Linked DNA regions of Coturnix japonica. Each later gene encodes a partner of the first gene's protein in a complex. Links are inferred from orthologs where the notes say so. Each region holds a gene or a part of one and is shown in the gene's direction. Other genes may lie near its edges. The genes, in order: MED19, MED31, MED13L, MED13, MED23, MED26 and MED18.

The links.
Region 2: MED19 (region 1) and MED31 share a complex: the UniProt entries of both Homo sapiens proteins name them as parts of the mediator complex. The link is inferred for Coturnix japonica from reciprocal best matches to the Homo sapiens genes MED19 and MED31.
Region 3: MED19 (region 1) and MED13L share a complex: the UniProt entries of both Homo sapiens proteins name them as parts of the mediator complex. The link is inferred for Coturnix japonica from reciprocal best matches to the Homo sapiens genes MED19 and MED13L.
Region 4: MED19 (region 1) and MED13 share a complex: the UniProt entries of both Homo sapiens proteins name them as parts of the mediator complex. The link is inferred for Coturnix japonica from reciprocal best matches to the Homo sapiens genes MED19 and MED13.
Region 5: MED19 (region 1) and MED23 share a complex: the UniProt entries of both Homo sapiens proteins name them as parts of the mediator complex. The link is inferred for Coturnix japonica from reciprocal best matches to the Homo sapiens genes MED19 and MED23.
Region 6: MED19 (region 1) and MED26 share a complex: the UniProt entries of both Homo sapiens proteins name them as parts of the mediator complex. The link is inferred for Coturnix japonica from reciprocal best matches to the Homo sapiens genes MED19 and MED26.
Region 7: MED19 (region 1) and MED18 share a complex: the UniProt entries of both Homo sapiens proteins name them as parts of the mediator complex. The link is inferred for Coturnix japonica from reciprocal best matches to the Homo sapiens genes MED19 and MED18.

The regions. Positions count from the first base shown.
Region 1 is NC_029520.1:7,805,366-7,809,108, reverse strand, and holds MED19 (mediator of RNA polymerase II transcription subunit 19), read left to right. Parts: upstream 1-1,611; 5' UTR 1,612-1,634; coding exon 1,635-1,830; intron 1,831-1,971; coding exon 1,972-2,228; intron 2,229-2,295; coding exon 2,296-2,392; intron 2,393-2,474; coding exon 2,475-2,569; intron 2,570-2,706; coding exon 2,707-2,775; 3' UTR 2,776-3,040; downstream 3,041-3,743. Other genes in the region: TMX2 (thioredoxin-related transmembrane protein 2), read right to left, coding at 1-8, 95-160, 240-346, 427-503, 787-900, 1,025-1,085, 1,352-1,540. UniProt on the Homo sapiens protein: Component of the Mediator complex, a coactivator involved in the regulated transcription of nearly all RNA polymerase II-dependent genes.
Region 2 is NC_029534.1:8,576,487-8,580,827, forward strand, and holds the start of MED31 (mediator of RNA polymerase II transcription subunit 31), read left to right. Parts: upstream 1-1,305; 5' UTR 1,306-1,466; coding exon 1,467-1,476; intron 1,477-2,677; coding exon 2,678-2,755; intron 2,756-3,345; coding exon 3,346-3,442; intron 3,443-4,131; coding exon 4,132-4,318; 3' UTR 4,319-4,341. UniProt on the Homo sapiens protein: Component of the Mediator complex, a coactivator involved in the regulated transcription of nearly all RNA polymerase II-dependent genes.
Region 3 is NC_029530.1:10,495,094-10,498,978, forward strand, and holds part of MED13L (mediator of RNA polymerase II transcription subunit 13-like), read left to right. Parts: intron 1-1,007; coding exon 1,008-1,169; intron 1,170-3,297; coding exon 3,298-3,410; intron 3,411-3,885. UniProt on the Homo sapiens protein: Component of the Mediator complex, a coactivator involved in the regulated transcription of nearly all RNA polymerase II-dependent genes.
Region 4 is NC_029534.1:6,215,084-6,217,874, forward strand, and holds part of MED13 (mediator of RNA polymerase II transcription subunit 13), read left to right. Parts: intron 1-29; coding exon 30-215; intron 216-407; coding exon 408-556; intron 557-824; coding exon 825-998; intron 999-1,408; coding exon 1,409-1,509; intron 1,510-2,249; coding exon 2,250-2,382; 3' UTR 2,383-2,791. UniProt on the Homo sapiens protein: Component of the Mediator complex, a coactivator involved in the regulated transcription of nearly all RNA polymerase II-dependent genes.
Region 5 is NC_029518.1:51,917,535-51,922,118, forward strand, and holds the start of MED23 (mediator of RNA polymerase II transcription subunit 23), read left to right. Parts: upstream 1-1,545; 5' UTR 1,546-1,642; coding exon 1,643-1,690; intron 1,691-4,030; coding exon 4,031-4,062; intron 4,063-4,165; coding exon 4,166-4,253; intron 4,254-4,584. UniProt on the Homo sapiens protein: Required for transcriptional activation subsequent to the assembly of the pre-initiation complex. Component of the Mediator complex, a coactivator involved in the regulated transcription of nearly all RNA polymerase II-dependent genes.
Region 6 is NC_029543.1:3,344,754-3,349,257, forward strand, and holds the start of MED26 (mediator of RNA polymerase II transcription subunit 26), read left to right. Parts: upstream 1-1,654; 5' UTR 1,655-2,383; coding exon 2,384-2,506; intron 2,507-4,504. UniProt on the Homo sapiens protein: Component of the Mediator complex, a coactivator involved in the regulated transcription of nearly all RNA polymerase II-dependent genes.
Region 7 is NC_029547.1:21,930,400-21,934,535, reverse strand, and holds MED18 (mediator of RNA polymerase II transcription subunit 18), read left to right. Parts: upstream 1-1,808; 5' UTR 1,809-1,921; coding exon 1,922-1,994; intron 1,995-2,160; coding exon 2,161-2,714; 3' UTR 2,715-3,573; downstream 3,574-4,136. UniProt on the Homo sapiens protein: Component of the Mediator complex, a coactivator involved in the regulated transcription of nearly all RNA polymerase II-dependent genes.

The DNA.
Region 1 (3,743 bases):
CCTTGTACCTGCAGGAGTAAGGCAAGAGGCAGACAATGACATCAAGGCACTTGGAAGGCCTGGTACCTTCCTCTACCCTCTCGGCCCCACAGACCTGGTGCTGACATCCGTGTATCGGCCAACATCCACCTTCCCAAAGTGCAGCCCCGAGCAGTTGTACCTGGGAGACAGAACACAGCTCTGAGTGAGCACTGGGCTGGGACCGACTCAGCAAGGCCTCAAAAGCAGGCAGCACTCACTTGAGAGAGAGGTCAGCGAAGATGGGGGCAAAGGACTGGCACTCACTGGACCAGTTGGCGAAGAACTCGACGATCCAGGTCACCCGCTTGTCTCGTTCCAGCTCCTCCTGCCACGCGAGTCAACAGGGGATGGTAGGCAGGGAGCCCGGCACCCCACGCCAACTCACACTGGGTAGGAGATACTCACATCTATGGTCTTATCGTTGAAGTACTTGATATACTCAGGTCCCATGTAAAGGGGTGGCTTGCAGGTCATCAGGAACACTGCAATAACAGCATCCCTGAGCCCAGCGCCCACCTGGAGCGAGGCCTCTGCCCCCTTTTTTCCACTTCTGGAATGCCCAAGAGACACAGGCTTAGTCTGAGGGAGGCTCCTCCTTCCCCAGAGCAGCCTGTATGGCTACAAAGACAGCAGCAGCACAAGGCAAGATGGCTCCAGCCCCATTTGAGGAAGGCAATGCACAGGATGGGCAGAGACAAGGCCTGACAGGAGCACTGTTACAGCCCCTGCATTACGGATCCCCCCCCACTTCCCCACGTGTCTCACCGATGCAGAGCGTGAGGTAGAGCAGGCCCATGCGGATGTCAAGACGGAAGAAGAGGATGGCGTTGGCCACTTTGCTGAACATGAAGATGTTCCCAATGTGCTGCTCCACAGTGACTGGGAAGGAGGGAAGAAATCAGAGATGGGGCCACGTCTCTTTTCACTCTCATCCCTCAACTGTTTCCAGTACAGAGACACCCCATCAGCAGCTTATACTCAACCCAGCACTGCCCCAACTCACTGGAGCGCCGGTTCTTCATCATGACGATGGCGCTGAGGAACATGAGGATCTCCACCTCCCGCTGCACAGGAGAGAAACGCAGTGAGCACCGTGACAGCCACAGCCACAGCCACAGCCACAGCCACAGCCAGCACCTCGGGCACAACCGAGCAGCCCTGCAGCACAACCACAAGGCCAAGCAGCCATTCCAGGCCGCTCCAGCCTTCATCCTCCGCCTGCCCTCGATCAGGAGCCGGGGCTGCGCACAGAGGGGCCGCCTCGGCTGCACCCAGCGCCGGTGATACCCGAGTAGGCCACGGCACAGGCCGGCCCGGTGCTGCCGCTCACCCAGTCGAAGTCGCAGGGGTTGCCGTCCTCCCGCTGTGAGGGCAGCCCGCGGCACAGCGGCGGGACCTTGCGGACGAGCAGGAATGCGGTGGCGAGCAGCGCGGACAGCGGGTAGTAGGGCCGGGCCAGCCAGCGGCACAGCCCCGGCACCGAGTACAGCAGCGCCAGCAGCGGGGCCAGCACCGCCATCTTGTCCTCCGGCCGCCCGCCGCGCTCCCATTGGCCGGAGCTGCACGTACGTCCGCGAGGGGCGGGGCGGCCCCGCGCGGGGCAGGGCGGGAAGATGGAGAACTTCTCGGCGCTGTTCGGCGGGGCCGAGCCGCCTCCCGCCGCCGCCGCCGCCGCGCTGGGCTTCGGGCCCAACAAGGGGCCGGGAGCGGGGGCCGCTCCGCCTCCAGCAGCCGCCGTGCCGCCGCCGGGAGACGACGCGGCGCGCAAGGCCGCCACCGGCCCCTTCTACCTGCTGCGGGAGCTGCCGGGTGCGGGCCGGGCCGCGGGGGAGGGGGGGGGGGCGCGGGGCCAATGAGCGGGCGGGACGCGCGGAGTGACGGCTCGTCGGGCCAATGGGCGCGGGCGGTCCGGCGAGGGGCGGGGCGCTGAGGGTGCCGGTCCGTCCGCAGGCGGCACGGAGCTGACGGGCAGCAGCAACCTGATCACACACTACAGCCTGGAGCACGCGTACAACAAGTTCTGCGGCAAGAAGGTGAAGGAGAAGCTCAGCAACTTCCTGCCCGACCTGCCCGGCATGATCGACCTGCCCGGCTCACACGACAACAGCAGCCTGCGCTCCCTCATCGAGAAGCCGCCCATCTGCGGCAGCTCCTTCACGCCGCTCACCGGCACCATGCTGACCGGGTTCCGACTGCACGCCGGCCCGGTGAGCACCCGGGGGAGGAAGGGGGGATGGGGGTAAGGAGGGGGTCCGCTGACATGAGCCCCTGCAGCTGCCGGAGCAGTGCCGCCTCATGCACATCCAGCCGCCCAAGAAGAAGAACAAGCACAAGCACAAGCAGAGCCGCACGCAGGACCCTGTGCCCCCAGGTAGGACCGTGCCCTGCTAACTCTGCACCCCATGTGTCCTGGTAACTCTGTGCCCCGCTCACCCCTCCTCTGCTTCCTGCAGAAACCCCCTCGGACTCAGACCACAAGAAAAAGAAGAAGAAGAAAGAGGAGGATCCGGAGCGCAAAAGGAAGAAGAAGGAGAAAAAGAAAAAGAAGGTAGGTTAGGAGGCAGCGTGCTGCTCTGCTCTGCCTGCACCAGCCCCGTGCCAGGCCGCGGCAGCACCACACGTTAGGCCTCCAGCAGGGCTTGGCACTGGGTTTCACAAGGCCTCACGCCTGTCCTTCTTCTGCAGAACCGACACAGCCCCGAGCACCCCGGGGTGGGCAGCTCGCAGGCCAGCAGCAGCAGCAGCTTGCGGTGAGGCTGCGCTGTGCTGCTCTATGGAGCTCCCTGCCCCAGCTGTGGACTCGTCCCATCACAGAGCACAGCGGGGAGGTGTGGGCACTCATGGTCCCCGCTTGCAGAGAACGTGGCCTTGCAACCCCCCTGCTTGCACTGTGTGGCTGATGGGGACCTGGTGACGCGGACGCTGCTGGAATGGGGGCTCCTACCACACCTAAGCAACGTGGTGCATTGGGATCTCACTTTTTTATTCACCTTTTAATTAAAGTCTGCTCTGAGGAAGAGCTGGTGCCAGTGGCGGCTCTGACTGTTGGCCAGCGGGGCAGGGCAAGGAGCAGAGGCCTTGTGCCTGTCCCATCATACTCCAGGCCTTGCAGCTCTCTGGGCTGTGAGAGAAGGCTCAGGAGGACACAAGTGACCCCAGTTCAGCACCATGTCCCCCAGGGCTGCCCCTGTGGGGGCTCCTACAGAAGAGCCAGAGCCTCACTGAGTCCTGGGACATGTTCCAACCCTGACAGCTCCACTTACCTGCACTGAGAGCGCTGTGCCCCAAAGTGCCCTAAGGAAGCACATCCCAGCTGTGAGGGCGCAGGCACTGGCAGCCCTGTAAGGCTGGGCCCGGCTCTCCTTGTCCCCTTCCTTTCCACTCCAGACGAGGGAGGGAAAGCTGAGAAGTGAAGGACAGGATCCTTCACGGACTCCTCCATCCCTGGACACCGCACAAAGCACACGCATGCCCGCTGAGGTGACTCATTAAATATCCTTTTATTCCTCGTTTTTAAAATGGCTAATCATAATAATAAAAAAAAAAACAAAAAACCAATGGCATGGCTCTGCGGAGGCCACAGGAGAGATATTGCCATAGAGAAAGAGTCAAGTAGTGCGTGAAGTTGCGTGGGCCCGGTGCGGGGTGGGCTCCCCAATGGGGCTGGGGGTGGCGGGGCAGCACTGGGCTCCTTGGCTGCGTTTTTTGGCATGTGATGAGAA
Region 2 (4,341 bases), on another chromosome or scaffold:
TCTAGATCTACTATGAGCATGCTCTCAAAATGCATTAGGAAAACAAGGGTTCAGCACCAGTGCTCAAACAGAGAATAGGGTTAGCAGTTCAGCTCCTATAAAAAGTGAAACTGAGGCAGTGATGTTATGATTTGATGATGATAAAAAGGAAAATTCTTGGCTCAAACACACAGCTTAATACCTCTTCCCTGAAAGTCTGACTAAGCTAATATTTAAAAGCATAAATAAATCCAGCTTTTCCTAGAGAATGTTCTTAGTTTTTGTAATATGACTCCAACTTTCAATTTTGTTCCTAGTTTTGATGGCCAAGAATTGCGTTCTTGCACTTTACTCTGGCAAACCTACGTAGTAATTTAATTCATGTGACCAAGCCTTTCTTAGGATTCTCTCCTCTGAAGTCAGTCTTGGGAGATACATCGTGTTCCAGAATAGCACTGCCAATGCGTGGGATATGTTTGATCTCTGCTTTTAGACAAAAGTCTGTATTTACTGGGGAGTGACCTGCTAATTCTGTTATAGTAATGGTAGTACTCCACAACCACTAAAACCTTGGGGAAAAAAGAAACAAAACACAAAATTATTTTATTAAGGAAAGCAATGCAGAAGTCTTTTTTTAGGTGGTCTTATAGCCTAATTTCTATTGGGGCTGGAGGGGAACAGTTACACTACATAGAAAGAGATAGCACTACAGGAAAATGCTGAGACACTGAAAATAGTTTAACAAATCACAAATTTTAAAAAAGAATTAGGATTCGTGTTGAGCCTGTATAGTGCAAACTGTTACACAAGTGCCTAATAATGCAATCATAGCAGCAATGGAACTCAGGTAGCTTGACAGTGCTAAACCCCACCAGTCTTTGTTTTAACCAAGATATGAACATCCAGTGTGTGACCCCAGACATGAATGCAGCATTAGGAATAAATCTGCAACCTAAGTGCTGAACTCTTCTCCAGGTGCAATAGCATAGTGCTGTTCTGCACCCCTGGCGCATCTGTTTAACTGGTTTCACTACGACATAACTTCTTAATAAATAAACTGCAGAGGTTGTGTGAGATCAGCTCAGCATGAGCTGCCAGGGGGAAAGGGGAAAGGGAACGGGAAAGGGGAAAAGGGAAAAAGGGAAAGGGAAAAGGGAAAAAGGAAAAGGGGAAAGGGAAGAAAGAAAAGCACACACATGCCTAGGAAAAAATCCATCCCAGAACATTGCTCCTACAGGTACCTTCCAATCGTACTGCCTGTCTGGTAACAGCTCTCTTTCAAGACAAGGGGAAAAAAAGTTGCTCCAACTTTAGTTTATTTCAAAAGGTCATTTTCTACACAACTCGCATCATTAACGCAGCTCCTCACCACCACAGACCTTCCCATCTTGCCTCGTTGCGCCTCCCGCCTAACTCCCGCCTGCCGACAGCGGGCGCTCCCGCCGCCATTTTGAGGCCGGGCGGGGAGCGGAGCCCAGCACGCCGCCATGGACGCAGGTGAGCGGCGCGGTGCGGTGCGGTTCGGGCAGGGCGAGCGACTCCGGGCCACGGAGAGCGTCGGTGGTCCTGCCGTGCAGAGTTCGGGCGGTTCGGGAGCGATGGGCCGACAGGCTCCGAATCGTTTTCCTCGGGAGGGGCCCGGGGCGGTCCTGCTGCGCTGCCCTCCCGGCTTGGCCCTTCTCAGGCCGTTGGCCCCGTTGGGGCCCTTCGCGACGTTCATGGAGACACCGCGGCTCTTACCTGCCCGGACGCCATGGCAGCGGACATCCCACGTTGCATCTGTGGTCGAGGAGCTGAATCTTTTATAGACCCCGAGTGTTTGGATGGAGGGGACTTTATTTACAGATCGGACCTCCCGCCAGAGCGGCCTGCGCGGTGCCCCTTCCAGCCTTCCCTTGTGCAGCTCCAGGGATGGGGCCCCCACAGAGAGGGGCGGCCCGTGCCGGGGCCTCACCGCCCCTCGGAGAAGAATTTCTTCCTAACATCTAACCTGAGTTTCCTATTGTTTGAGTTTAAAGCTGTTCCTTCTTGTTCTGTTGTTTTCAGTCAGGGTGGAAAGTCAACATATTTTTCTATAAGCTCCCTTTCCACGCTGAAAGACCAGAGTGAGATCTCCCTGAGCCTTCTCCAGGCTGAGCAAGCCCAGCTCCCTCACCCTTTTGTCATAGGACAGCAGAATCTTGTGCTGACCCCTGGGTCTGTCATCAGTGCCTACTGTACACCAATAGTGTGAGAACACTGCAGGATTCTCACTAAACTGAGACATCTCTGTACAAAACAAACAAAACAAAAAGCAGCCTCACGGTAAGCATTTCTTAAATTATGTGCAAGGAGGCTTTCAGTGAGCTGCTGGTAGTGTTCTTTTCTTGCCTTCTTATATTTTCCTTGCACTAAAAGCAGGCCCCTTTCCCTTCCCTTTTCATATATTCTACATAAAGTGTCAGAGAGCATTTCTCCATTATTTGCATCGTTTTTAGTTGTTAAAAAAACAAACAAACAATAGTACATGTATTAACATGGGCCCAACACTTATTCATGTAATAGAAAAGACTGCTAGATGAGCCCATACTTGTGGGCTCTTGGTGCTTTATCTCCTCTCTAAACGTTTCTATTTTTGTGGCTCAAGTTGAGAAACTTACTTTTAAATCTGCCATGTAAGTCCAGTTTTTACTGTTTTTTTTTTTTCTCTTGTATTCAGATGATACAGGAAATCGACTTAGGTTCCAGTTGGAGTTGGAGTTTGTTCAGTGCCTAGCAAATCCCAATTACCTCAACTGTGAGTACTTAATGTCAGGGATCCTGAGAAGTTAATGTTATTTAACAGTTTAATGATTACGTGTAATGGTAAACTGTGTGTGTGTGTGTGTGTGTGTGTGTGTGTGCAGAGGCGAAGGGTAAACAAAGAAAAGGGAAGAGATCTTTAAGGAAAAAAGTAGTCTGAGGATAATTTAATTTGTCCGAATTTCAAAGGTGAGGTAGAAGAGGGAGGAGATGACACCTTTAAAATGTGAAATGATTATTTCTTGAAATAAAACACAACTGTCTGGTGGAGAATAAGTGCACATCTGTAGTAGAAAATAAATAATAATAATTACATTTCAATCTTAGAAGTACTCATATCTGAAACCAACATTTCACTAATGCTTATAATAGTTTCAGGTGGAATTCTTAATTTCTTTGGTTTTCCCTGACAGTTTTGATGTCAGAAGTTCCTATTTTTGAAGACATCGCATCCTTGTTGCTGTATAAAAGTTATATGCTAACTCACTATGCTTAACTTGTATTAGAGTGTTGACTTAAGATATATTTTTCCCTTTGTGTTTTTTTTTTATTGAGTTGTAAAAAATTCCTTGTCTCTTATTTCAGTTCTTGCACAAAGAGGATACTTCAAAGACAAAGCTTTTGTAAACTATCTTAAATATTTACTGTATTGGAAAGAACCTGAATATGCAAAATACTTGAAGTAAGTATTAAAAGCCCTCAGGTTTCTGCATTTTAATGATTTTTACCTTCTCTTATGCACTGTAAAGTAGCATGTGCATATTTGATTTCTCCCTGCAGCCAAAACATGCACTGTGTTTATATGCAGTATAAATTTTCCTGTTTCCTGTAGTCTGGGATAGGCACAATTAAAGAACGTTTCATTCTTGACATATGCATGGAATTTTCCATTTGCAACCTTTATCTGCACCTTCTATCTGCATAAAGCAAGATTACTGAACATCACGGGACAAAACTACTTCAGCCCATTAAGAACATTCTGAGAGTGATTTTTGCCCTGTTGATAGCTACACAAAGAATCGTTTTTTTTCATTTTTTTAATTAATGTTTAAACTCAGTTATTGAAATTTTTTTTGTTTACTTCAAATGAGCTCTGGAAAGAGCTATTTAATTAATTAGTTTTTGTTTTAATGAAATCTAGTATTTATAAAAGTTATTTTAATCAGCTCCGTGTATGTATTTATATTGTTATTGGATTCCCTGTTTTCTAGCCTTGTAGTTACTGAAGGTATTAAGTTACAGTGTATGGAAAAGGTACAGCGCTCACTGTTTCAGGTACTTGAGTAAGGCACTAAATGACTAAAATAATGGAGAGATACTGGAGACTCCAGTTCTAGTGCACCTTGTAAATTGTGTTTTTTTTAAATCCAGGTATCCTCAGTGTTTGCATATGTTAGAGCTGCTCCAGTATGAGCACTTTCGCAAAGAACTGGTAAATGCTCAGTGTGCCAAGTTTATTGATGAGCAGCAGATCCTTCACTGGCAGCACTATTCACGGAAGAGAATGCGCCTCCAGCAAGCACTAGCAGAGCAGCAACAGAACACCTCTGTGAAATGAAAAGCACTTGGAAGAGTGATGAT
Region 3 (3,885 bases), on another chromosome or scaffold:
TTAACAGATTTGTTTGTTTGTTTGTTTGTTTTCCCCACTCTGAAATTAAAATGAAAGCAAAACAATAAAGGTTGATTTTAGGAATGTACTCTAGTGTGTAATGGCAGTCACCTATTCTGATGCCCAAGGAACCCCTTGTAGATATGGTAATGGAGTTCATTATACATAAGGCTTTATCTATCTCTTTTTCTATAATGGTAAATAAGATCACGCTCAGGTGTTCCTATCCATCAGCCTCAGGTATGGAAGATTCACTTGGATTTAGATTGCAGAAATACAGTCACAGATGTATATCCTGACAGGCTGCAGCCCAAAGTTTGACGAAATTGCTAGTAAAGCCTTTTAAAGTTGCTTAACTCCTGTCTCTTAGTAACTGTTTTGTCACTATGCAAGAACATGAGTAACTAATACTACAAAATACAGTATATAAATAAATGATACAAATAGGAAAGCGGGACATCTGTTTCTTTTTTTCCTATACTTCATCTGCTTGGTAGTATAAATATAAAACATAGTTTCTTCTGTCCAGGTTATTCTTATATCAAGGATATGCACCCAAGGGTATCTTATATACTTGGGTGCATAACACATCCTTCCCCAAACATTCCCTTCAGGATGTTTGTCAGTTCAAACTGGTATTCCCAGGAATGGGAAAATTCTGTCAGGCTATGTAAACTTGGTGAGGCTGTATCGCCACAGTCAGTACTGCTCTCCTCTGTGTGCCCACCAGAAGCTGTTCAGATTCATAGCCAGAGTCCATTACCTCTAAGAGACCCTGTAGCAGCCACCTCCCCATAAGCTCAACACAGCGTAGGATCTTAACTTGCCGTTTGGTTGCCCAAGCGTAAGGGAAAAAGGAAAGCACAAAGATTCACAGATGACTGGAGGATAGCTCATTAATAGCAAGACAGAACTGTATCCAAGACTGATTAGTAAGCAAAACATAAGTTATTGGAGGGAGATGTAATGACGTAAAGTGACAAATGTGCCTTCAATTCTTATTTCAGAGCCAAGGGGAACGTCTCCTTTCCAGAGAAGCCCCTGAAGAATTGAAGCAGCAGCCTCTTGCTCTCGGATACTTCGTGTCGACTGCCAAAGCTGAGAATCTTCCGCAGTGGTTCTGGTCATCCTGTCCTCAGGCACAAAACCAGTGTCCTCTCTTCCTGAAGGTCTGTCTTGCTGATCTTTCTCAGTGGAAAGGGGGGAAGAATTGTATTTAGATCCTACACAATTCCTTTGAAAATGACAGCTTTGTGTTGCTTCTTCTGACAGTTGGAAATAATGAAGAAATACATTTCCAGATATAAATTCACTGAAGACAGCTGGCTATTAGCATTTACTCTCTATTACCTGAAAATTGAATAGTTTGGCAGCTTCTAAATACAAAATCATCAATGCTGTATCCAGTCTTCCCCAATTTTAATTTCCTAAATTTCAGTTAGCCCACGACAGGAGACGCATTACCTCCTATTCTGCCATATCATATCATAATACAGAGATGAAAAGGTTAGAGAGCAGCACTCCCACACAGAGCTTTTGCTATGTGTTCCTATTCCTGTAGATGTAAAAAGTTGCATGGCGTTGTCTGTAGTATCAGAGTTTATCTGGTATTTGCCAATGCAGAAGACTGCTGTTTCTTGCAAGAGGTACTGGTATATTGCTTGCAATAGCTGAACTGGATCAAATACTACAGATTCATTCACCACTGTAGAGTGACATGCTGTTTTTTACTGGGATGTTGTCAGCTAGTGAGCGTGGAAAAAAGGTGAAAAATCTGCCTTGGATAGAGTCATGTGGATACTCGAGCAAGCAAAATAGAAAGTAATTAAGATAGTAACATTTTATTTATCCATTCTCAGCTTAATTGACACATACAAAGCATTTCGTGAAGTCTCTTAGCTAAATTCTCTCAAACATGTATATCAGGCAGTCATCAGAGTAAAGGTGTATAATATTTCTCAATTCTTATGCCAGAAAGCCATTTTAGGACTGATAATTTGAGAATGATTGTTGCAGTTGGTGTGGCAGGCTTTATGTTCATTTCAGCATCTGTTGGCAAAGTACTGCAGTACTCAGTTAAATGAGATCACCTACCAAGTTCCCCACGTTTTCATAGAGGCTTCCCAGAATTATGTGCTTCACTCCAAACCTGTGGAATAGAGATCTCAAACTAATGTGAAAAATAAGGCACTGTATTTTTGGACCTAGAGATGAAGTTTTATCCTAAACTTAAAACTACCTTTCTTTGTGAATGAGTAATAATACAAAAGCTGTGTTTCAGTTCCAGCTTTAAAAACACAGCAGAGCTCTAGGCAACTCCATGAATTCCTTCTGTAAGCCTATGCTAGATTTATACTGGAGAGAAGGAGCCACCACCCTTCCCCCTTAACCCAACGCAATTGCTTTCTCAGATCCAAGCTGAATTAAATGTTTAATTTGACTTGGAATGTACTGTTACGGTTTGGACAATTTTTAATAAAAGCAAGGGGCTGAATTCGTGCAGTAACTTGTAAGTGCTCAGAGAGCAGCTGGTGCTGTCTCCTTTGTGCTGCATGGCGCTGCAGTTAGGAAACCTGCACAACACGTGAGACGTAAAGATTTAAGTCATCTCTGTCTGATTTGGATTAAGTCTTTTTGAGCTGAAGCATTCCACCTCTGAGGTGCATGCTGCAACTGGCAGAGCACAAACTCAAGGTCTTGCCCCAGCAGGCCATGTGGTCTATTGAGTTACCCACTTGAAAGGCTTACATGGTTGCCTCTACCCCTGGCACATGATCAATATGAAATCGCTTTTCTGTTCCTGTGTAAACCAAGGCACAAACCTCACTCCAGAAACAAAGACTGATTGCTATTCAGAAGGCACGGTAGCAGAGAGCAAGAGGAAGGCTGTGCTGTGTTCTGGTTGGATATCTCAGTCCGTGGTGGGTCTGGTTCTCCGTGGTGGGTCTACTAAATGGGAGAGTTTGAAGAATTAAAATCCTATATTGCTGAAATGCAAAAAGAAACACTGACATACTCCAAGTGTTTTCCCTCATCACTTCTTCCCTGACTGAAATTAAGAGTGGAATTCAGGATGCTTTTTAAAGGTCCTTAATTCCAATCAGAAAAAGCAGTCATTTTATTCAAAAGTGTAATCGTTATGGAACTTCAAAATGCACTTGGTCCTGGTGGGTTCCACAGAGAACTGCCAGCTGTCCTGAGACAATTCAGGGCGTATTTGTTCACTGTGAATCTTCATACTTGCTATGCAAAGAGTTAAATGGTTCTTTTTTGTTTCGTTTGATTTTACTTTCACAGGCCTCGTTGCATCATCACATCTCCATAGCACAGACAGATGAACTACTACCTGCCAGAAGTTCTCAGCGAGTTCCTCACCCCCTTGACTCTAAAACTACATCAGATGTCTTGAGGTAATGCCTTCTCACTTTTTGCATTTCATCTCTTGACTTATGGGGACTCAGGAATGAAATTTCAGAGGGACCTTTTTTTATGCTTATCAACAGTTTACACCTCTATTATATCCTACACGTGTTTTTTAATAAACAAAATTACATATTACATATACCACAGATCCTATGATCACAACAAAAGAACAGAGCTTTGAGGGTTACTTCTTCACTTTTCTATCCTACTCTGCAAAGCAATGAAGAGGAATAATTTGTGCCTTACAAAGAGAGTGCCTTGGTTTGCCTCCCAAAGATGATTTGTTTTAGCTGAAAGTCTGAGCTGGCCTGTGTAAATAATTATTTTTAGTCACCAAATCAAACTGAGTTATCAAAGGAGGTAGAAGTTCTCTCCTGATACCCTCTATCTTAGGAGATGTAGTATAAATGAGACACTTCCTGAATCAACACAGCACTGTTATCTGTCCCAGTGCAGAAGATT
Region 4 (2,791 bases), on another chromosome or scaffold:
AAAACTAAGGAAATGTTTTTCTTCCAAAGATTCTGTATCTACCGGCTCTGTGTTCGGACGCAGCACCACTTTAAACATGCAGACATCTCAGCTGAACACCCCACAGGACACATCGTGCACTCACATACTTGTGTTTCCCACATCTGCTTCTGTGCAAGTGGCATCGTCAACTTATACCACTGAGAACCTGGATCTGGCCTTCAACACAAACAATGGTGAGCAGATTGGATTTATTCCTGTTTCAAAAACAAACCAACCCGAAACCCTTCATTGCTCCCCCTGTAGCAGGAATAAGACTTTATTCTACTAAACCACAGCATTTATATGGCAAATCACTTAATTTCTACTGCTTCCCTACTTATGGGAACAGCACATTCTGAAATCACGTGTTGTTGTTCTTTTTCAAGATGGAGCAGATGGAATGGGCATCTTTGACTTGTTAGACACTGGAGACGATCTTGATCCCGATATTATAAATATACTTCCTGCATCCCCTACTGGATCCCCTGTACATTCTCCAGGGTCCCACTACCCCCATGGAGGTGATATGGGCAAGGTAACTGATAGAGTAAATATAGAGGGGTGTGTATGTGTTCGTGTATATGTGTGTGTGGTTGTTTGCTCTCTGACATCTGGTTATTTCCTTTCTGGAATGAAAGGTTCCTATGAACTATTTTGAATTAATCAGATATTGGATTGCCACTGTAAAATCCATGTAATGCTCGGATCCTTCAAAAACGCTTTGTAATTTTAAAGCTGTGGGTAATTTCTTGTATCTTTGTGGTCTCCTAATAGTAAACCATTGCCTGTTAATTTTTTTATAGGGTCAAGGTACAGATCGATTGCTTTCAACGGAATCTCACGATGAAGTAACAAATATACTGCAACAGCCACTGGCCCTTGGTTATTTTGTGTCAACTGCCAAAGCAGGTCCCTTGCCTGACTGGTTCTGGTCAGCGTGTCCTCAAGCACAAAATCAGTGTCCCTTGTTTCTTAAGGTACCGTACCTCCAGTGGGGCTGCACTGGCATTTTTATTGAACAGAGGATTTATTTACCCTGAGCACCTTCAGTATGTAATAGTCTGACCTTATGGGGACAGCAGTGAACTTTAAAGCCTGTTTATTATTAGAAATCTTGTCACTGGAGTTTGCCTCCTTTTTTAATCATCATTTAATGTAGGCACAGAAGTAGTTTTAAAACAGTTTCCTTAGGTGTATTGCACTGTTAGCATTGTGCTTTTAGGAGAAAGGATTCCTGCACTTATGAGCTGCATAAGGATAAGCTTTATTTAACTCATGTGTTAGAGAACTAAGTGAAGTGGCTGCGATATTTGGGTCAGCGGAACAAGGGGAAGGAAGTTGCAGTTGAATCAGACGCTGACTGCTCACATCTCTCCTCCTTCCTCAGGCCTCTTTGCACCTCCACGTGCCTTCAGTGCAATCAGACGAGCTACTCCACAGTAAACACTCCCATCCACTTGATTCTAATCAAACTTCTGATGTGCTCAGGTATTTATGATCTATTGCTTGCAAAAACAGCTGTGCATTTCTTTTTTTAATACTACTGCAGGGGATCTGGAGGTTTGTTTTCCTTGCCATTAGTTTTCTCATTGTGTCACTGCCCTTCATACATAGCAAACAAAACACATTGCTGTGCACTGAGGGATGAAAAGACTTCCTCACCACAAGACGCTGCGGTTTAATACAAATATCTGAACTCTGATTTAACTAATTAAGATTGATTACAACTAAAAATATTTGAAAAAAACGTGAAATTCATTAAAAAATAGTGCATAAATGGGAGGAGGGTGGTTAGACTTGAGCCAGAATCTCATGTAAGCTGTGGGAATACTGAAGTCCAAGGGCATGCAGGTAGTTGTGTACACATAAGACACTTGTTAATGAGAAAGCAGCGTCATGGTTGTGTTAGTATTCACATATATATGTTCACATTCATATATATGTTCACATTAGTATGTGAATCTCTTAGCATTAATTATCATTGTCAACTAGGATTGGGTTAATTATTGATTAGATTTGATTAGATTATTGCTTAAAATACTACAGTATTTTCTACTGAAGTTCAGCTTTAATCTGCTCGCAACGATTCTATAGTTGTGTTACTGCAAAACATTGGCAGACCTGTTTTATGTGCTGAATACCACAGCAACCATGTTACGTTAAGCCGGTGCTGTAAAATGCTGCTGAGGAAAATCTGTTGGCTTGATGGAAGCTTGTTTGCTTTTCAGGTTTGTTCTGGAACAGTACAATGCACTCTCCTGGCTAACCTGTGATCCTGCAACCCAGGACAGACGGTCATGTCTCCCGATTCATTTTGTGGTGCTGAATCAGTTGTATAACTTTATCATGAATATGCTGTGATCTTCACCTGAATTTTGCAAGACAAAAATGAGGAAAAAGGATATTTCACTGCAGGACTAAGTTATGATTCTTCTCAGTGCGAGTTGTTTGTGATGGGGTATGAATCTTGTTACTTCCAGCAAATATTGGTTTGACTTGTGAGAGGGGGTACTTATCACCTGCTGTCTTGGAGTCGTTGACTATGGGGGATGCTTTAGAATGATGATCAGAAAGTGTATTATAACATTTTTAGTAGCAAAATTAACCATTTTTCCCCGGTCACAGTATTTGTGAAGAGTAATGAGCCATAGTACCCAGTCACAGTTAATGAATATTAAAGGCATGGAGATGAGAAGAAACGTGAGGAACAATGAGTTTCAACCTATGGCTTCGGAACATCAAGATGTTCTTGTATTGGATTATAGTACCT
Region 5 (4,584 bases), on another chromosome or scaffold:
AGTCACTCCACAACACTTTGTCTCTGCTGCTCCTTCATGGTCACTCTGCCTCTGCTCCAACATGGGATCCCTTCCACAGGATGTAATCCTTCCTCAGCTAACCCCATGTGGGTTTCCCACAGACTGCTGTTCCTCAAGCACTGCCTCAATCACAGCCCTCCTGTCCCACCAAGGGCTGCTTCAACACAAGCCCTGTTCCTGTGGAGTTCCCTTTGGGCTATGCTTCCTTCAGGACTCCTTCCAGCCTGGAGCAACCTTGGATACCATAAACTGGTCTATCATGAAACTCTCTATAACTTAAATTGGAATGATAGAAAGCTACCATTCTTTATTATAATCAAGTCTGGATGCATGGGTGTTGAGCTCCACCACCATTTTGTGCATACCTTGCACAAAAGATATTCAGTTCATTTACATTACTTGTGTTACATACCCAGAGGTTTTCCCAGAGGCATATACATATTCAATACTTGCTTTCACAATGGATTCCAAGCAGAACTTCCTTATCTACTTAGTACAAAGACTTAACAGAACTCTATCTGTTTGGTACAAAAACACAGACTCTTCCTGTTGTCTAAACAAATGACAGGGTTATCCATCAAGAGACTTACCAAGCTTAATGATATCATTACAGCTTGCACCAGCTCCTGTCCTCCTGCACCAACGCAGGGGGCTGCTGGGCTGTTTCTCTCACATTTCTCACTCACATTGCCCAGTACAGATGCTTTCTCTTTTCTTTAGTTCGTTTTCCCAATGGGACACACAGTGTTGCTTGTGGCTGAGTTCTGCCCAGCATCAGGTCTCTGTTGGAGCAGCTGGAGCTGGTTCTCATCTGATGCGAGGCAGTGCTGGTCCCTGCTCACAGAGGCCATCTCTGCAGTTCCTACTGCCTTGGCACACAAACCCAATACAATGAGAGTTAATTCATGATCTCAGTCACTGTTGGGACGTCTTATGGAGTTCAAAACTACCTTGTAACCCAATTTTAATGATAAAAATGGGCTTGGTACATCTTAGGGCATGCTGAAGACATGGCTGAAAACTGCTGTTATCCTGTGAGCTAACAGATAGGGTCCTCACGCTATAAAATGCACTTGACAACCTCTTCAGGCCTCCATTTCCCATCCTATGATGGGAATGGATTTTGAGTTTGACAAAAAATTGCGGTAGGTAATTCTCTTCAGTGCTACCATTTAGTAAATAGACCAGCCAATCTGCCCACTGTGAGCAAGAGCTGCTCCTACACGTTACAGAATCACGCAGAATCACAGAATGACCCGGGTTGGAAGGGACCTCAAGGATCACGTAGTTCCAACCCCCCTGCCTGGCAGGGCCACCAAACATACACCTTTACTAGATCAGGTTGCCCAGGGCCCCGTCCAACCTGGTCTTGAACACCTCCAAGGATGGGGCATCCGTCGTTCGACTGATAGAACTAACAGCAGCCTCGGCACAGGGATGCAGTGCTGACCCTCCATACCAGCACCCAACACATACACGCACTGCTGTACGCGCAGGCGCTGCGCTCACCCCGCTCCGCCGGAACTCCGTGACAGCCGGGGGGAGGGAACTTCCGTCGGGAAGGGAGTCCTGCCGCTCCGTGTCCATCTAACGGAGGGCCCGGTGAGGCCCGGCCGGGGCTATGGTGCCTATGGAAACGCAGCTGCAGAGCATCTTCGAAGAGGTGGTGGTGAGTGTGTCCCGGCCGGGCCGCGGCCTTTCTAGGCTGCTCAGCCGGCATCCCGCAGTGGGCCCTGTGCTCTAGGGGAGCTGCTTCCTGAGGCCCGCGGTTGGGGGCGAGCGGCGGAGGAGGTAAAGAAAGGGAGAAGGGGTTGGGGTATCGCCATGGCTGCGTGGTGCGGGGAGAGGCCGGCGCTGGGAAGGCTGCCCTCATCCTCGGCTGTGTGCGGTGGGACCGCGGAGTGCGGTGCGGAAACGATTCCTCAGAGCAAAAATTCCTTCTCTGAGCGGTTCTGTAAGGCGTTTGAGGCTGGTGCTGAATTAGGGGCAGCTTGCAAGGAGAAAGAATCCATCTGCATAGTGGAAGGGGAAGAAGATGAGCTTAGAAGAAGGAAAAGATAAGCAGAACTATGAGTTAATTAGCAAGGCAACTCTGTTGGCAGTTTCTTAGTAGATTTAGGTAGCTCGTGGATATTAGTGAGTGTTGTGGCTAGAAATACTGGGATGATATTTGATGAGGATGTTCAGAACAGGAGCTTGATTGATGTCAGGTGGAACCAGCAGTATCTGGTCTGGAAGGGATGCGTATGTCTCCTAGAGCAATGCAACTGAAAATCACAGAGTGAATGGTTTGGGCTGGAAGGGACCTTTAAGATCATCTGCTTCCAGCCAGTTCCTGCTGAAGACAGGAACACCTCTCTCTAGACTAGGTTGCTCAAAGCCCCATCCAGCCTGGCATTGAAAGCTTTCAGGGAGGGGGCATCAACAGCCTCACAGGGCAACCTGTTCCAGTGTTACCATTCTCACAGTAAGGAATTTATTCCTAATATCTATTCTAAATCTACTCACCTCCAGTTTTCTCCCCTTGTCCTGTTGCTGTCTGCCTTTGTAAAAAGTCCCTCCCCAGCTGATGTGAAAATGGTTGGAACACTGAGTTTTTCTTTCTGTGTGTGAATTATAAAATGCAAATGCAATATATGCTTTTCTTTAAGTGATGTTAAGCTTATGGAATGCTTTTTGTCCATACTTGATGATTTGTTTGTTTTGTTCTTGACATTGTCATTTTGTTCTTGACATGTTATTGTCACACAGGCTTTATGAGGAGCGGCTGAGAGAGCTGGGATTGTTCAGCCTGGAGAAGAGGAGGCTCAGGGGAGACCTTATTGCTCTCTATAACTTCCTGAAGGGAGGTTGTAGTGAGCTTGGGGTCAGCCTTTTCTCTCATGTAGACAGTGATAGAACTAGAGGCAATGGTTCCAAGCTGCGGCAGGGGGAGATTCAGGCTGGACATTAGGAAGTATTACTTCTCGGAAAGGGTAGTCAGGCATTGGAATGCACTGCCCAGGGAGTTGGTGGAGTCACCGACCATGGGAGTGTTCAAGAAACGTTTGGATGTTGTGTTGAGTGATATGATTTAACTGGGAAGTATTGGTGATGGTTGGACTGGATGATCTTTTAGGTCTTTTCCAACCCTGAGAATTCTGTGATTCTGTGTTCTGTTTTTGCATGTTTAACACCATGATTTGACTGTGTGGTCACTGCCTTTCTTTTTTTTTAGCAGTATTTTTTTTGCCTGCAGTTGTTAAGGGACAACAAAGTCTTAAGCTTTCCTTGCATTTGCAGCTGAGAAAATATCAAGTTGTCACATTCACTGCTTCTATTACTGACTGAATGGACAGCAGTGAAACTTAAGTTTCCGTGCACAGTGGATGAATATCATGTTCTCTTGAGGTGTTTCCAGGCCTTGCAATTTGAAAGGATCACCATAATTTCTTTATTTTTCAAACACTGTTTATTTCTTCCATGTAATGATGGAAACACATAGTGGTTACCGATCACATCTGAGTGTAGTATGAAATTTCTATAGAAAGCAAAACAATCTGTAGGGTACTATTTTCAGGAATTTTGCCTATGCATTAGGATAATGCTGTAGAAACTTAATCTCTAAGTGTGAAAGAAGAGCTCAAGTTGCAGAACTGAACAATTTTTCCAACCTTGGGACATAAAATAATCTCTGGGTGTTTATAGGGAGGGGAACAGAGGAGCCTTAACCTGGATCCTCAAAGCAAGCAGCCTCAATGTTGAGACCTGAGCGTAACAGAAGAAACGCACCTGCTTCTGATTCAGTCCTGAAACAGTAGGATTGTTTTTCTTCAGTGTTGTTGCATCCTGGTAGTGAGACAGTCATAGAGAGCCTTTTCAGTCATACAGAGGAGCTATGAGATATGGTTTAGTGGCTTGTGGTAGCAAGGGCAATGGGAGGACAGTTGGACTAGATGATCTCGTAGGTCCTTTCCAACCTTGTGATTCTGTGATTCACAGTAACTCACTTTAGGTTTTTCTCTTGCAGAAAACTGAGGTAATAGAAGAAGCTTTTCCTGGGTGAGTGTAAATGTTAGTTTACTTTCGTGACTTTCTGTGTATATTTCTATTTGTGCTCTTCCTTTGCTGTAGTGCTAATAACCAACTTTCTTATTTGAATTAGTATGTTTATGGACACTCCTGAAGATGAGAGAACCAAACTGATCAGCTGCCTGGGTGCTTTTAGGCAGTTCTGGAGCAGTCTTTCCCAGGTTAACATTTCATTTGCTTCTTCAGTATACTTTATATACTTTTGGGGGGCGGTGGAGGGGAAGATCGGGGTATAGTAAAACTTTGAGTAAAGGACAAATCCTTCATGTATAAGGTCTTTTTCCAGTCATTCAAAATGTTACAGGGTTTTTGGTAGAAGTGAGTAAGTAGAAAAAAGAAGTTCAAAATTTACCTTCTAAAGGTTAGATACCTGTAGGCATTCTTTCTGAAATACACTCATCTTCATTTTCAGTGAATTTGATTGTAGCTCTGAAGAACAATATAAAGCAATTCTATTTTATTCTATTCTTTGCTAATTCACATTTATTAAAA
Region 6 (4,504 bases), on another chromosome or scaffold:
GTGTCTGCATTCAGCACACGGCCGGCTTCGAGCCGACTCGGACGGGACCGAAAGCGACGCGTCAAAAACGGCGCGGGGTGAGAGCGCCGGGAGCGGCCACGTGAAGCTGCGGGGCGGCACGGACGGATCCCGGTCCGTGTAACGTGGGGCCGGAGTCGCGTTCCCTCCGCCCCGCCCCGCTCTGCCCCTTCCGGCCCTCACACCGCTCCGGTCGCCCCCCGGCTGTCGGGCGCTCCGTCCATAAGGCCGCATTCACCCTCGGAGCTGCCTCGCGCTGCCAACGTGGGGGCTGGAGTGGGACGGGGCCGCTTCAACCGCAGCCGGCGGCGGATGGCGGCATTTCGGGCTCACGGAGCCGCGGCGCCGCGCTCCCCTCCCCCGCCCGCGCTCCTCCAGCCCCGCGGGTGACCCCGCCGCCGGGCGCACGCGCGCCGTGAGGCCGACTGCGCACGCGCGGCCGCCCCCCCTCCCGTCACGGAGCCCGCCGCGCACGCGCTCTGGGCGCCCGGCGGTGCGTGCGGAGGGACGTCAGGGGCGCGCCGTGCGTAACGGCGTCGGGCGTGTCCCATGGTGCCCTGCGCGGGGCTGGCTCCTGCCCACAGTTGAGTTCGGCCCCGAGCGGAGCAGTCGGGCCCGGCCCGGTCGCGCCGTCGCGGTTCTTCCGCGCCCCGCTCCGAGCGCCGCCGCCCCCCGCTCGGCGGGGAGCGAACATGCGACTCCGGCTCCCCGAGGAGGCCGCCGCCGCCGCCGGCGAGTGAGGAGCCGCCGCCCCGGCCCGGCCCGGCCCCGCCGCCCGCCCGCCCCGGCCGCAGCCGCCCCGCTTCGCCCAGGCAATGACAGCGGCTCCGGCCCCCTCCCCGCAGCAGATCAGGGACCGGCTGCTGCAGGCCATCGACCCGCAGAGCAACGTGAGTACGGCCCGCCGGGCCCGGGGCTCCCGACCGGCGGCGCGGGGACGCCGAGCTCCGGCCGCTCTCCGGCCCCGCCGCCGCCTCCCGCTGTGGGAACGAACGAACGCCGTGGGGCCGCGCGGCCGCCGCCGCCGCTTCTCCTCCTGCCGGGACCGCGGCGCGCCGCGCTCCTCCCCGGGCACCGGAAGCCTCCGCTGCGGGCGGTAGCGGCAGCTCCCGGCTCCGTGCTCGCCCACGGTCCCGTTCCCGGCGGCGCTTTTCCGCGCGCTCCCTCCGTGGAGCTCGGGGGTCTCTCCCCGTTTCCCCTCCGGCCGCGCTCTCCCTCCGCCCCGCGCCGTCTCCCGTCACTCCCGGCGCCGTCCGGCTGTGCCCGGCCATGCGGCGCGCGGCCCGGCGGCCTCCCCACGCCAGGCCGCGGCTCGGGTGCGGCCTGCAGGGGGCTCTGGGCCGGGCTGCGGACTCTCGCAGGGCGCCCACCTGTTCCGCGGCCCCTCCGCCGCCTCCCGCCGCAGACGCCGGGCCCGGGGCCGTCCCCGCGTTCTGGGGGCGCCCGGAGGGCTTCGAAGGTGGATCCGGGGCACTGGAGCGGCTCCGGCAGCGGGCAGCCTCGGTCTTCGCTTTTATCCTTCCCTGCAGAGCGCTAATGAGCTTATCTGCTCCTTCTGGGATGTAGAGTAAGCACGGGAGTCGACGTAGATTTTACCAGTAAGTGGTCTTCATGTGTAAGTCGTGGTAATCCAAAGTGTTATTTACTCCTTTTAAGGTTTTTTTTGGCATAGTAAAGCAGCTCTTCACATCCACGTTTACTACGGTGAGAGGACTGTGGGGTCTGCGGTCTGTCAGATTTATTCGATCTGAAATCCACATTTGCCATGGCAGTGCACAGAGCTGTGCTGCTCCCAGCTGTCTGTCGCAGGGCAGTCAGGGTGAGTCAGGCTGCAGCGTGCTGTGCTGTGCCAGGAGTGCACGAGATGGGCTCCGAGGTTCATTGGAGCTGTGCCTGCTTCTCTCTGAGCAAATCTCTCCCATAACAGACAGGTGTTGTGTTCTCCGAGTGGCTGATGAACTTACTGCTGTTTGGAAGCATCATGTAGCGCCATGCAAGTGATGTGAAAACTGAAAGATAAACCACTTTGTAATAGCCTGTTGTGATAAGCATTTGTCATGAGCTGCAGTATTACCAGCTTGAGTAACAGTAATGAATGATAAGGGTGATGGTGGGCTTTCAAGTCTCAGTTGTTGGAGTCTGTGGTCCTTTAACTTGGTAGATACGGAAACAATCTTTCCTGAGTTCTGTTTGCTCTGGGACTTGTGGCTGTGGGATTTTGGTTTTACCTTACACTCAGCATCAAGCTGGTTAAATACAGTTCTAATGGAGCAGTGGTTTCTTGTCACTTCAGACCTGCTGATGCTGGTTGCTCTGTTTCTGGGGTTACTTTCTAAAACGTTGTAGCTGTGTAGAGTTAAGAATTATGTTTTGTGATGAATGTGCTTCTTCCATGTGCGATGTCAGGTTGTGCTGTGGTGGTGGTATGGAGCAGGAGCTCTGCTGGGCAGGTCTGAGCATCAGGCAGCGCTCTGTGGGCCTGCAGCAGGTCAGTAGCCCCATAAGCTTAGAAGCAATGTATGTTAAATTATAATTCTACATACTTGATACTTATCCAGGGCAATAATTAGCGGTGGAAAAATCAGCCCATTGTTCAGAAATGCCTGTAGGCAGGGGGCTGTCTTCTATTTTAACCTCTTCTTCGAATGAGAACAGAAGTGGTGGAGTTGAGGTTCATCATACAGACTTGGACTTTTTTTTCCCAGCACATAGTAAGCAATAGATGGACAGGCAGAACTGCTGTGCTGTTTTAGTGAAAGGGAGAAAAATATGAGTTTTGAACGTTCTTAAAAGCAGATTGTGACTTAAATCTGACTTGATCTCCAATGTTGAAGTACAAGAGAGGCTGCTCTGTTGTCTCCCCACAGGAAGCAGTTGTGCAGCTCTGAGCTGCAGCACTTCTTGGTGCACAGGGAGAGTTGTGGCTCTTTTCTTCTGGCTTCTGGAGACTTTTCTTGAAAGAAGTGGTTGCATTCAAACTTAAAGCATTCATTATTGTGATTGACTTCCTTGTTTACTAAGAAAAAAGCTTTGAGGCCTGGATTTCTTTTGGACTTTTTGATGTGATTGTCGGTGCGGGTACGTGTGTGTCCCTGGAGAGGAGGGAGGGTGAAAACTGCACCAGATCTACCCAGCATGTGGCACAAGGATCAGTTTGGTGGGGCTGTGGAGGGGAGGTGGTTCTCATCACGCTTTGCTGTGGGGTGCTGTCAACTTCAGCTTTGCTGATATCTTCCCCAACACAACCCGCTTTCCCCTTGTGGATATTCAATCCAGTGGGACTGTGGAGGTCTTTGTGGTATGAGCAAATCTTGGATAAGTGTGAGGTCCTCTCAGAGAAGATCCTTCCTGTGGTGAGTTAAACAAGATGGCTCTTCCCCAGGTTGTTGGAACCCATGTGCTTTCAGAAGCTGTTCACTATTCTGATCATCTGTTTTAACCTCTGCTTGAAGCTCTGCTGACTTGGAGCGCTGCTTATATTGTACACACATTTAGCACTTGAGACCTCTTCTAGTATTTGCTGCAGAATGTTTTGATAACTTATTTTCACACACTTGGATCACTATTTATGTGATAAAGCTCTGTTTCAAAGGAGACCTGTAAGAAATAAGCTATTTAAAAAAAAAATTACATCATATTGGAAGCCACACGGGATGTCTGCTGTTACATCTCCATTTATTCAGCCTTTTCCCCTTGCAAAAACATATGGACAAACTACTTCTGCTCCATGACTTACACCCCATTTACCAGCATGGGGTCATTGGGAATGGACCCAGTCCTGTATTGGAGCAGGGAGTTGGGTGTTGTACCCCCAGCAGGGCAGTGTGATGTTCCTGCAGGGAAATCCTCCTCCTGGGAGGACTTTTTGGACAGCACAGCTGGGGAAGCGTCCGATGGGCTCTTGGAGCGGGCTTTTAGGGGAAAGGGCTCCCTGGTTCTGGTAGAAGCAGCACTTTTCTCTTTGGGCTCACTGTGCTGAGCAGAACCCCTCTGCTGGGTGAAGGCGCTCCAATGGGGCATCAGGAGTCTCATTGCCTGGTGGCAGGAATGGTGTGAGCTGTTCGCTTTTGCTCTGTGGGAAAGACTGTTAGAACTGTTCTCACAATTGCACAGGGTCCTCATCCCAAATATGTAGCAGCCTTTGTGTTTTGAATATTAGACAATAATTTAATTATTTACCATTAATAGCACTTGAAGGTGTGAGCCCAGCTCTGGTTTGAGGTCACCACCCCTCAGATGCTCACTGTATGGGTTGGGCTGCCTGCAGTCCAGGCTGCCGTGCACACTGAGCTCCATGGCTTTGCTGCTCGGCCTCTGGGAGATGTCTGCAGGCCAGAACATTAATGATGAATCCGTCTATGTGCTGTGCTATGTTACCTAGTGTTGGGTGATCTTCCAGTCTCATGGTTAGTGATGTTTCCACAGCTGTTTTCTGGGTTGGTTGGTTTACCAAAGTTCAGGCATAAAAGTGAGATCTGCTTTCACA
Region 7 (4,136 bases), on another chromosome or scaffold:
CTTTAATGCATTGGTCCTTCTGTAGTGATGGCAAACCTAATTGTTTTCCATGAATTCCCAGTTTTGATTTTGCTGAAATGTTAAAGTTAGATCTTACGCTTTGAGACAGTTGTTATCAACTCACGTTAGCACCATAGAAACCCCTGTCTACTTATAGTACTTAATTTTCTGCAGCTAAGCAACATTTAGTGTTTATCTTCACAATTTAGACTATTACTTAAAGAAGAACTTGTGACCTGCAGAGTGCTGAACTGTTGATCTATAGTTTGTGCTGAAGTAGGAAAAAACAACAGTGTCTTAACTGTTCTGTCATTTAGTTCAGGTTCAAAAAAAAAAACCCAACGATTTTAATACTGATTTCTTGTCAGACAGCTTGTTAATTCAAACAGACGCGGTTTCCTGTACGTTTTGGATAGGAGTGCTGCATTCAAACAAGAATCAGTAACAGATGTTTACATTTCTTTTAAAAGAAGTCTCTCAAGGCACGGTGTGTTGGCATATTACAAACTATCTTTTGTTCTCGGTGTTTGACACTTATTCCCCAGGAAGAGGTGTGAATCTACTGCTTACACTGAGATAAATGAAGTCAGAAAATCACACTGTTCTGTAATACTACAGGGTTGGGGTTGTTTTGTTTTTTGTTTTATTTTATTTTTTGCTTTAATTCCTTTTAAACTTTTTTGAGGGGGAATATTTATTTTAAGATTTTTTTTTTTTAATGGAATGTACTAATTAAGGGAATTCAGTGAAATGTCATGTTAATGCAACAGATTTTGTATTAAAATTCTGTACTTGGACCAGTGAAGCAGTCTCAGGTGTTCTTAATGTAATATAGAAAACACAGGCGTGTTCTGGTTTGATTCACCTTCTGGAAGGTTGCTGTCAGCATCACCCTGTCCAGCTGATCATGGGAGGAGAACTGTTCATGTGCTTGATGATCTTCTTAGGGGGCAGAGGTGGTGGCAGATCAGTGGTTTGGCCTAGATGTGTTCGCTACAGGAATGTGGTGGAGCTTTTAAACGGGTGTCTAGCAGAGGTGCTCTTTAAAATTCAGCTTCAATGTAAGTCATATGGGTTGTCTTGTAGTGCATCACCAAATCAACATTATTGTAATGAGCTCACAAAGCTGCTGTGCAAGCATGAAGACGTACTACATGCTAGATATGCTACGACAGCATGCAAATACCATGGATGCACATCTTCCTGGAGTATTGTTAATAGCTGTCACTTTATTTGAGGAAGATCTACTTTATTTCTGTGTTCACTCAGTGAGCTTATTTAAAGTAACGCTGTACTGACAATAAACAGTGGCTCAACGTTCATTATGATGGATTTAACTGGCTGTAGAATTAACATTTTGTATTATGACTAAGTCGTGTACATTTTGGTACAGAACTTCTTTTTCAGTTTGAGTAAAATAATCCTAGATTTACTGGCTTAATTGTGATACTTTCAGATTACCTCATGATGCAGTGAAATAACCTAGCAAACAAAAGGTTAAGGAAAACTGTCCAGCATACAGTGCAGTATTAAAGACTGAAGTGGGTCTGTGATACCAGCACTTCTCACCTGGTATTGCAGAAGCCGTTACATTAAAAAAATCCCTTTACAAGTACATCAAAGTAAGAGGAGAACCAAGGAAAATGCCCAACCTTTACTTGATGCAGCGGGGAACGTGATCACTGAGGAGAAGGCTGGGATTCTCTGAGGAGGAGAAGGCTGAGTTCCTCGATGCCTTCTTTACATCTGCCTTTAAGGGGCAGTGCTGTGTGCTTGGGGATGAATAACTGGATGTCTGTGAGGAGGAAAGGGAGCTGGTCGATGTTCGGCTGCTCCTCACCGCCAGGCCGCACTGTGGCGCCCGCCTCCTCCTTCAGGCCTTGCCTTTCTTCCCGCCGCCATCTTTACCACAGCCGCCAAGATGGAGGCGCCTCCCGTCACCATGATGCCCGTTACGGGCGGCACTATTAACATGATGGAGTACCTGCTGCAAGGTATGGCCGGCACACAGGGGCTGTACACGGGGCTCGGCCGCAGCGTGGGGCCGAGGCGGGCGGCGAAGGGGAGGTACCTCCCCGCGGAGGCCCCTTCGCCGCCTGCCTCGGCCCCGCGCTGCGGCGGGGAAGGGGCCATCGTCTGAGCCGTGTGTGTCCACCACAGGGAGCGTCCTGGACCAGAGCCTGGAGAGCCTGCTGCACCGCCTGCGTGGGCTGTGCGACAACATGGAGCCGGAGACCTTCCTGGACCACGAGATGGTGTTCCTGCTCAAGGGGCAGCAGGCCAGCCCCTTCGTGCTGCGTGCCCGGCGATCCATGGATAAAAGCGGCATGCCATGGCACCTGAGGTACCTGGGGCAGCCGGAGATCGGAGATAAAAACCGACACGCTTTAGTGCGAAATTGTGTGGACATCGCCACCTCGGACAACCTGACGGATTTCCTGGTGGAGATGGGGTTCCGTATGGATCACGAGTTCGTGGCTAAGGGACACGTGTTCCGAAAGGGGATCATGAAGATTGTGGTGTATAAGATCTTCCGTATCTTGATGCCTGGTAACACGGACAGCATCGAGCCGCTTTCCCTCTCCTACCTTGTAGAGCTTAATGTTGTGGCACCAGCCGGACAGGATATGGTTTCTGATGATATGAGGAACTTTGCAGAGCAGCTGAAGCCTTTAGTACACCTGGAAAAAATTGACCCTAAGAGGTTAATGTGATGAAAACTGGCTTGACTATCATAGCATTGCTGTAGCCAGAAGTGAGTGCAGGGACTGGTTGGAGTCCTATGCACACAGAACTTTTGTTCAGGGCTCCACTGCTTCCTCTCTGTGCTGGAGCAGTAAGCAGTATTAAGGTGCAACACTTATAAATAGAGATATTGACTTTATGTTGTTGGGGAGCAAGGGGTAAAAGGCTTTGATGTATTGGTTTTGTTTTTGTTTGATGCTCAGCCAGCATTTGGTATTTGGTTATGCAGGTTACATATATGCATAAGAGCAGAATGTATGTAATTCCCAGAGATGGAAGAGAATAAAAGTCTGTTTAGTGCATTATTCATTGGATAGTCGGTCCCTGATGTCTGAAAGGAGTAGTTGCAGGAATTGCTTAGTTTTAGATTTGAAAGACCTGAAAGATTCCCTCCTAGCAAATCCAGACTGGGAGCTGTTTGTTATTGGAAGCAGCTTTGTTGTTAGTGTAGAACAGGAAGCTCTGGGTCTGCAATTATAACCTGGGGGGAAGAAACAGAATTAAGACCCTTCACAGCCAATATGTTGGCTCAGAAAGTTGAGCCCAGTGCCCCCGAATGTGCCTGTAGAGAGTCAGGTGGATGGGGCCAGGCTTTGACTGTTGTTGCCCAGTGTTGGGACACAGGAAGGTCCATCTCAAAGTGAGGAATTACTGCTTCATTTGGGGGTGACGTGGAGCAGGCTGCACAGAGAGGCTCCTTCCTGCTTACAGCCACTTCCATCAGCCCAGCACGATGCATTAGTTTCACAAAAGCAAGGTCAGGCATCCCACTATTTCTGTGTTTTTGTGCTCTTTGTATGTTTTATTAAAAATATATCTTCAAAAATACCCGTCAGCTATTTGCATTAATTTTGTATTTTCTTTGCAATTCTTTTTCACTCAATACAAGCCAGTATTTTGGGCAAACATGAAGTAGTCTTCATTTCTCAAGATCATTATGGAAACGTACAACCACGCTGCCTTTTACTAAAACACACCAATTGCTGTCAGTCGCTGTCATGCTTTAACAGCACGAATGTTGCTGTATCTCCAGCACTCCTCAGCCCTGGGTCTCCATTCTCCCCACACACTCTCCCCTAATGTTGTTATTTCTGTACAAATGAACACAGAAGCTGAAGTACAACTTTGGAAGCACTCTATATTGTCTAACATGCTTCTGATATGCGAGTGCAGGGTGAGACGTTTCACACATCAACAGCTTATGTGGATATTCCAGCTTTCACTTCAGCAACCTCGGTAACACAGTCAAGCTGCTTTCTGCTAAGTGCTTTACATACACTGTAGTGTATGTGTATGAAGCGGCATACAGCTTCAGACACAACCCAAGGGCTGGGTACGGCAGAAGATACTGAAATAAGTCTCCTTAAACACTAGAAAGAACAACAAAACAG